2 linked regions of the Canis lupus familiaris genome follow. The protein of the gene in region 2 binds, or shares a complex with, the protein of the main gene of each other region. Links are inferred from orthologs where the notes say so. Each region holds a gene or a part of one and is shown on either strand. Other genes may lie near its edges.

Region 1 (3,747 bases), on a different chromosome or scaffold from region 2:
CAGGCAGTCTGTGCTCTAACAAGCCTGCCAGGTGGTTCTGATGCCCCTAAGACTTGAGAGTTACTGTTCCTGCATATTCCAAACGGCCCTTCCTACTGCTTCCTTACACTTGCAAGCTGGAGATGGTACCATCCTCACTCCCCCTTTCCCGGGCTCTCTGTCCCTCTGATATTCTTCGTAATATGTAGTCTGGATGGTGTTTGTGTCAGTGTAAGGTTGGGGCTTTCTTACTGCTCAGGGACACTTATTGGCCATCGGTCATTGTGCTCAGGGACATGGGTATCGAAGTGAGTAAGACACAGTCCCCGAGTTCCCTCAGCTTTTAGTGAGTGAGATTGTGTGCTCTAGGAGAATGGCCAGTTCAGGGAAATGACAGATGCAGTTCATGTAGGTTGAGCTTGAGATGTCCACATAGAAATATATATTTAGCAAGTAATTGATCTTAGGAGTTAAAATTCAAAAAAAAAAAAAATAGAATTCAAAAAGCAGGGCTGGAGTTAGCAATTTGAAAGTTACCATGTACATGATGATTTAAAACCGTTTTTCCTCAAAGGTGGCTATTCATCAGAATCAATTGGAGTCTTTATTTTTAAAGATTTTATTTATTTAGTTAGAGTGAGAGAACACGAGCAGGGGGAGGGAGAAGCAGACTCCCCACTGAGCAAGGAGCCCAATGTGGGGCTCTGTCCCAGGACCCTGAGATCATGACCTGAGCCACCCAAGTGTCCCTATTTGGGGTGTCTAACAATATGGATTATGCACCCCTGCCCCATGTATGACAGAGAGTGATTTGGGATCTCCCACATGTTCCAGGTGATTCTGAGCAGCTAGGTTTGGGGAACACAATCCCAAACAATGAAAACTGTTTGAGGAGAATAAGTAGAGAATGGGTGGGCAGCCAGCATGGAGCCCCCAGGGGCATGCCTGTGATGCAGCCGCCAGGGTGGAGTCTGTGCAGGAAGATCCTCTGGGACTGGGGGGATGGGGAGTAGACAAGTGGGAGAGCAGGGTTTAGATGCCAGGACTGGAAAGTTACCAGAGGGAGGGCTTCTTGGAGGAGGATCAGATTAGGCACTGCAGTGGTGGCCTCAGCTGGAGCCAGACTGTGGCGGTGACCAGCGAGGGGCGGGGCGCCTGGCTGGTCTCGGTGACTTGCAGGGAACTCTCAAGGAAGGAAGGAGAGCGTGAAGGAGAGAGGTGACCAGGGAAGCCCAGTGTTTCTGTTTTTCTCAATGGGAGAAAACTGAGCAGGCTGCCAGGAGTGGTGGGTCTGTAGAGAGGGCTGAATGGAAGAGGCCTCTGGTGTAGGGGGCTGATGCTGCTGAAGCTGTATCCAGGGGACAGAAGGATGGATTCAAAAGCTCAGCGCTCAGGACTGGCCTTGAAGAAGAGGAGGGCCACCCCCCCTCATCCTGGAGGGATGGAGGTGAGGGAAGGGGTTTGGAGATGGGAGTTTCTAGCTGCTGAATGTGGACGTCTCTCTCGTGTCCCTTTTTCCTGGCAACCCCGGGATGCACTCCTTGCTTACTTTGTTCATTTTAAATGATGGGGTTAGTGTAGTCTCAAAAACAGGGCCTCTGGGGTCTGTGAGACCACCCATGACTTAGTGTGTGCGTGTGTTGCTGGGGTGTGCTACTTCCGTGGGGTTCACGCTGCAGCACAGCAGCACCTCCGCGTTGGCAGTGGGCGGGCTGGGTTTCAGCACTTCTCTGGAGGCACTGCTTGGAACTCCATGTGTTTCACCTTGAAAGCAAGTTAATGGCTCGTGCCTGGTTAGCCCCTAGGGCTCACCTAGCTAATGGTGCTGCTGACCTTGCTGTAATTCTCTCTCGATCCCCTCATCACTCCCCCTCCCAGAGACCCCCTCCCCCCACCATGCCTGTTATACTCTCTCCCTTTTCAGCCCTCCTCCTTCCCCATCTTCCTTCCTTCTCCATGTTTCAGTTTCTTAGAAGGACTGGTAGACATGGAGGGTGGGCCTGGCATCCTCTTGTTCATGAGCAGCATTTTTGAGGGGAGGTGTGTGAGGTGGTGGCTCCCAGGGTCCTGTCTTACTCTGTGAGGTTTCAAGTGGTGCCAGCAGTATTTGTGCCGAGCTAGGCAGTGTCCCCAAGTCTTCTTGCCGAATGTCAGTTTCGCCCCTCAGTTTGTGACTGACACCCCCCGGGGATGACAGGCTGCTGCCTGTTGAGAGAACTCAGCTGCTCACACACCTTTCTGGTCTGGGAGCTGTGAGGATGGGTGTTGGAGTCCCTATGTCTGGACCCCTTGGAGATGTACACTGTGTGTATGTGGTTCACCTAATTAGCTAGTGATTGAGAGCTTTCAGAAGCTTTTCCAAGGGCATGATGTTTACAAGACAAAAGAAAACGGGTTCTTATTGTTTCCCAGGATTGGGTTAAAATGTTGAGGGCAAGGTAGTAGCCAAAGGTGAAGATGCATAGGACTGCATTTGCTGGACTTTAAACATGGCCTGTTACGAAATGATTGAGTACTAGTTAACTAGTTACAGTATATGCCTACCTAAACTTAGAAAATTTGTCGGGGAGGGGGAACAAAGGGAGAGAGTGGAATATTTGCGTAACAAGAGTGTTTTTCAATAAATTCATATATCCTAACACTTTGTCTTGGTTTTTACTTAATTATGCAAATACTGGAGCCTTTCCCAGTTTTTATAATCAGGGTTATTGTCCTTGCTTGCATACTTGCTGTGTTTCATAGAGGTGAGGCTTAGAAATCCCTGTGTCCTAAGTGTGAGGAGCTGTGGTCACAACCAGCCTGACCCTCAGATGAAGAAAATGGATCGGTTCTTGGAAGACTGTGTTCTGTGTATTTTTAAGTATGCGGGAAAATCTGTCCCTGTCTTGTGAGTTACTGAGGTCTCTTCTTTTCCTTTTCTCCTACAGAACCTGAAAGCAGATCCAGAAGAGCTTTTTACAAAACTGGAGAAAATTGGAAAGGGCTCATTTGGTGAAGTGTTCAAGGGCATTGACCTTCGGACTCAGAAAGTGGTTGCCATAAAAATCATTGACCTGGAAGAAGCTGAAGATGAGATAGAGGACATTCAGCAAGAAATCACAGTGCTGAGTCAGTGTGACAGTCCCTACGTAACCAAATATTATGGCTCCTATCTGAAGGTAAGGCTTGATAGTAAGAATGTGGTTTTCCATGGTGTAGTACTTGACCGAGTCAGAGCAGGGCGTGGAGAGGATGTCAGTAGCACAGCAGGCTGTCGGAGGAGGGAGAAATGTTCCTTTGATTCCAAAGGCACCTGGCTCTGATAGTCTTATCTTCAATGTCACCTATAGAAATATCTTTTGGTTAAAATGTTTGTTGAAGTTCCTTTCCAAGAAAAAAGCACGTCTGATTGGAACTTGGTCATCAGAGACACATTTCTTATGAAGGTATTACAACAACAACTGTGGACTTACCTAACCTTAGCATGGTTTTTTGTAAAACCTTGTGCCGACCTGAGAATCTTAGCCTTTTGATATTTTCAGTTATCAAATGTAGTTTAATTTAATGTTAAAAAAAACCCTGCTGGAACTGATAATGGTGCTTAGTGAACTAGTTTATCTACATTTGACTTTGAAGAATTCTAGGTAAGTAAACAGTGACTCAACACCACAAATTGTCCTGGATTTCATCTGATTCTGTGAGTAGGATAAAAGAGCACAGCAAATGGTTTTCCAGTCCATAATGGGACCATTTTAGATGCTGTAGGGCACTCTAGTCACACCACTAAGA
Region 2 (3,647 bases):
TTCAGTGCGGAAGGTCTCCCGCACTGTCCTCCACCGGCAGGAGTCCGTCTCTCTCTCCAGGCGGATATTTTCCACCAATAGGTACATGACACTCAGCAGCACCCTGGAGTTATGGAAGGGTTACAAGAGATTCCCAAAGCAGCTCCCAACCTGTAGCCAGAAACCTCAGGGATGATCTCTGTGGGAGCCCAACCCAGTGGAATTAGCAACTATTAGCAGTCCAGGTGTATCTGGTAACCCACTGCTAACTATCCCCTGTCCAATCCCAGGGCCAGCTCCACTTACCTGAGCTCTGTACTATCAGCAATGGAGATGGCTGGTTTCCGAAGAGCACTGCTACAGGCCTGGCTGTTGCTGCCATGGGGACGAGGGAGAGAATAGGAACTTATAAAACCTCTGCTATTCCCTGGCTATGTAGCTAAAAGAAATTGGTCTAAGGTAAAGGAGCCCACCGAATTCCTCTGCCATCTCTGTTAACCCTTATCTGTGGTGAAGGGCAAAGGCAGGGTCTGTGATGATGCCTCCTCTTATAATCCACACTGTGCCTAGTACCATGCTGAACACAAAATAGATGCTAAGCAACACTTGTAATCTGCCCTATTTGAACTTCTGGATAATAGGCATGAGATAAAATGAGGGATCTCTACAGTGGTAGCAACAGATAAGGCCACCTCTAGAGCTGTGACCTATGAGGGAAAGAATTGGGTACAGCAACAGAAATTGATCCTGTCCCTCTTGGGTCATGTTTCCAGGTAAAACAATTTCCTTCATGGATTCCAGAGTTAGGCTGAATTGAGGTGTTTAGATAAAAAGGGAACCCATCTAGGGTAGGGCCCTAAGACCCAGGACTGAAGCTGTAAGTGGGGGCAGAAGCTGTTGATGTTGTCCTCCCAACCTCAGGGAGGACAAAATATCAGAGAGGATGGCTGGATAAAGGGAAACCATCAATAAGCTTTGGACTGAGGTGTGAATAGACACTGCTCCCATAGAGGTCTCTATAGTGAGGGAATCAGTATAGGACATGAAACACCCTTCAAGGAAGGGGTTTATCTAGGCCAGCCCTCCCCTAAGGCTTCTCACTCAATTTCCATGTGGAGTAGCTCCAAGAAGGTAGAGAAGGTCCCCATCTGATAGAGCAGGAAGCAGTTGTATCTGGACCAGTGTAGCACATCAACCTCCGAATCACATTCCCCAAAAGTACCTAAAGAACCAGACAGTTGCCATGTGGGGTTGAGGGTAAGAGGGGTATCCAGTTCTTTCCACTCTGCCCCATGATCTTAAGACTATTTTCCAACACCCTGACCAACAATTAGGCTGACAAAGGTAGGACAAGGGCCCCCAGAACTTCCTTGAATGAGGCAGGAAAGAGGAGAAATAGTCTCCAGAGTCAGGTCCAATGTGCTTATCACTGGCCTGTCTTAAGTTTGAGTTCCCTGAAAAGCAGATCCAGAGAGGATTCAAATATAAGTAGTTTATTTGGAAGATGATCCCAGGAACCATTAGTAGAGAAGTGGGGAAGTTAAGCTAGGGAAGAAAAGGCAGCCAAGAGCTGAAATCCAGGATGGAGGAAGCTCTGGGAAACAGTAGGTTTTTCAACCCTCAGAATCATCCCACCCAAGAGTGAAATAGTTGGGCTATTTATCCAATAACTCCTGTCATTCATTGATCAGTGCTACTGCACTAGGGGAGCACATTAATTTCCTAGCACTTCCTGGCTACCCTATATGGACTGCAGAGAAAGCCTTCAGGTAAAAAGTTAAAGGTACTAGCAGTTGGAAGTTGGCCGAACACTAGACCCAAGAGATGCAGTTAGGGCACTGCCTCGTTTGCTATTGTCTTTTCACCACTCTCTTTCTTGTCCATTTATTGTTTTCTTATAAAACTGCTCCCAGCTAGTTAGTTCTGCCAAAAGTCCTCTTGTTATGACCTCAGGGCCTATTTTTACTATTCCAGTTAGGTTATCTCATTTCTCTTTCCAACAAATGGTTAATAGGTCTCTTCTGGGAAGGCTTCCTTAATTAATCTCATTGAATTCTGATCATCTCCCAATTACCCACTGCATCCACTCCTGCTGCTATGCTGGCTTGAACCCTCTAAATGCCAAAGAGAAATAATACAGAGGGTCCATGTGTGAATCTGCAGGACCCCACTGTCTCCTCTTAGTAGAAGTCAGTGCCATAGCTGAGGAAAGAAGCCTTCATGCTCAGCTGGTGGTATATCATCAACTCTAGCCACACAGACTCTCTTGCTAAGTATTCTCCACATATGATTATAGCCCACATGAAGGAAAAAAGTACCTTATAAGAAATCTTGCCATGCCTGGTAAGATAAAAGCCAATTCCAAGGGATCCAGAATAGTACCCACCACTATCTCCTTAACTTGCTTATAAGCATCAGGTTACTTCTAGCACTTGATAAGATCTGTCCTTGAGAGGTAGGGACCTTGCTTTCTTAGCATGGCTTGCCTCATCCTAGTCCTGATGGCAATATTTCTTTTTTTTTCTTTATTATTATTATTTTTTTATGGCAATATTTCTTTCCCCAGTGTTTACCCATCTGAAGCTGGCAAAGGTGGACACTTGCCTTGGGCCAGGTATAGAACAGCCCGGGCCACCTTCAGTCGCCGTTCCCTACTGACCACCTCCAGTCGGTCCAGGAGTCCCATCACATAGGCCTTCTGGGCATCTTCCTCCAACTCCAGCCACTCCTTGCCTTGCACTGGAGACAGAAGGCCATACAGATCCAGGGTCAGCTTCTGCCTCCCCTTCCTGGAAAGGCTCCTGGTAACATGTCTACTTCTAATCCCAGCCTCCAAATTCTTCTCTTCAAAAGCTTTCCTTATTTAGATGAGAAGGAATAAGAGATTAGAAAAGTAAAGGACCCCCAAAGTTCTGGCTGAACCCACTCTAAATGAAGCCTCTTCTTCCATATTCCCTTGTTCTCTACACAGAGCCTATTCTGGCTTCTCTCTCTGCCTTTTCAAGGGGTTCCCTCTCTCCCTACATATCTAATTCCTATTTATCATTACAGGTCCTATACTAAATTACCTCTTTCCCACTAATGCTCCAGCCAGAAGCTCTGTCCCCCAAGATACTCCTCTGCCTCCAAACCCCCAAAGATACCTTTTACTTCTCTTATGATACTTACCACTTTCCTCTTGGCGTCAGTTTTGTGATGTACACACCTCCCCTCTGCCACTGGACTATAATCTCTTTGAAGATACTGCAAACTCACTTTCACTATTTTGAGCACAAAATAGTACTCACCACACATCTGTTGAGTTGCAAACTGAATTCACTGACCAAGTAAGGAAGTGGAGGTCTGAGAGGATCAGTGTGGGCACATGAAATATTATTAGATGCTATTAGGAGTGACACAGAGTTGGAGGCAGGGATTGAATGTTAAAAGTCAAGGACTACACTAGGTACAGGGTTCAACCAGACAGCAGGGCACCAGCCCAGTCCTCATCCCTCTTCTCTCTAGGCCCTTTATATCAATGAAAAGGACCCAGCTCAGGCTTCTCCTGCTTCCATTCCATGGCCTCTCCACTTGAGATGTAGGAAACTCTGTGTCCCATATACAGGGAGGGATAGAGAAGTGGTTACAGAGAGGATAAAGAAGAATCATACTTTGTTTTGGGCTTTTTC

Evidence for each region. Proteins that work in one complex are often made in the same cells at the same time.
Region 1: STRIP2 (region 2) and STK24 share a complex: the UniProt entries of both Homo sapiens proteins name them as parts of the core of STRIPAK complex. The link is inferred for Canis lupus familiaris from reciprocal best matches to the Homo sapiens genes STRIP2 and STK24.

The regions. Positions count from the first base shown.
Region 1 is NC_049243.1:48,811,562-48,815,308, reverse strand, and holds the start of STK24 (serine/threonine-protein kinase 24), read left to right. Parts: upstream 1-1,333; 5' UTR 1,334-1,348; coding exon 1,349-1,426; intron 1,427-2,906; coding exon 2,907-3,137; intron 3,138-3,747. UniProt on the Homo sapiens protein: Serine/threonine-protein kinase that acts on both serine and threonine residues and promotes apoptosis in response to stress stimuli and caspase activation.
Region 2 is NC_049235.1:7,184,157-7,187,803, forward strand, and holds part of STRIP2 (striatin-interacting protein 2), read right to left. Parts: intron 2,719-3,647; coding exon 2,584-2,718; intron 1,202-2,583; coding exon 1,081-1,201; intron 355-1,080; coding exon 286-354; intron 104-285; coding exon 1-103. UniProt on the Homo sapiens protein: Plays a role in the regulation of cell morphology and cytoskeletal organization. Required in the control of cell shape. Calmodulin-binding scaffolding protein which is the center of the striatin-interacting phosphatase and kinase (STRIPAK) complexes.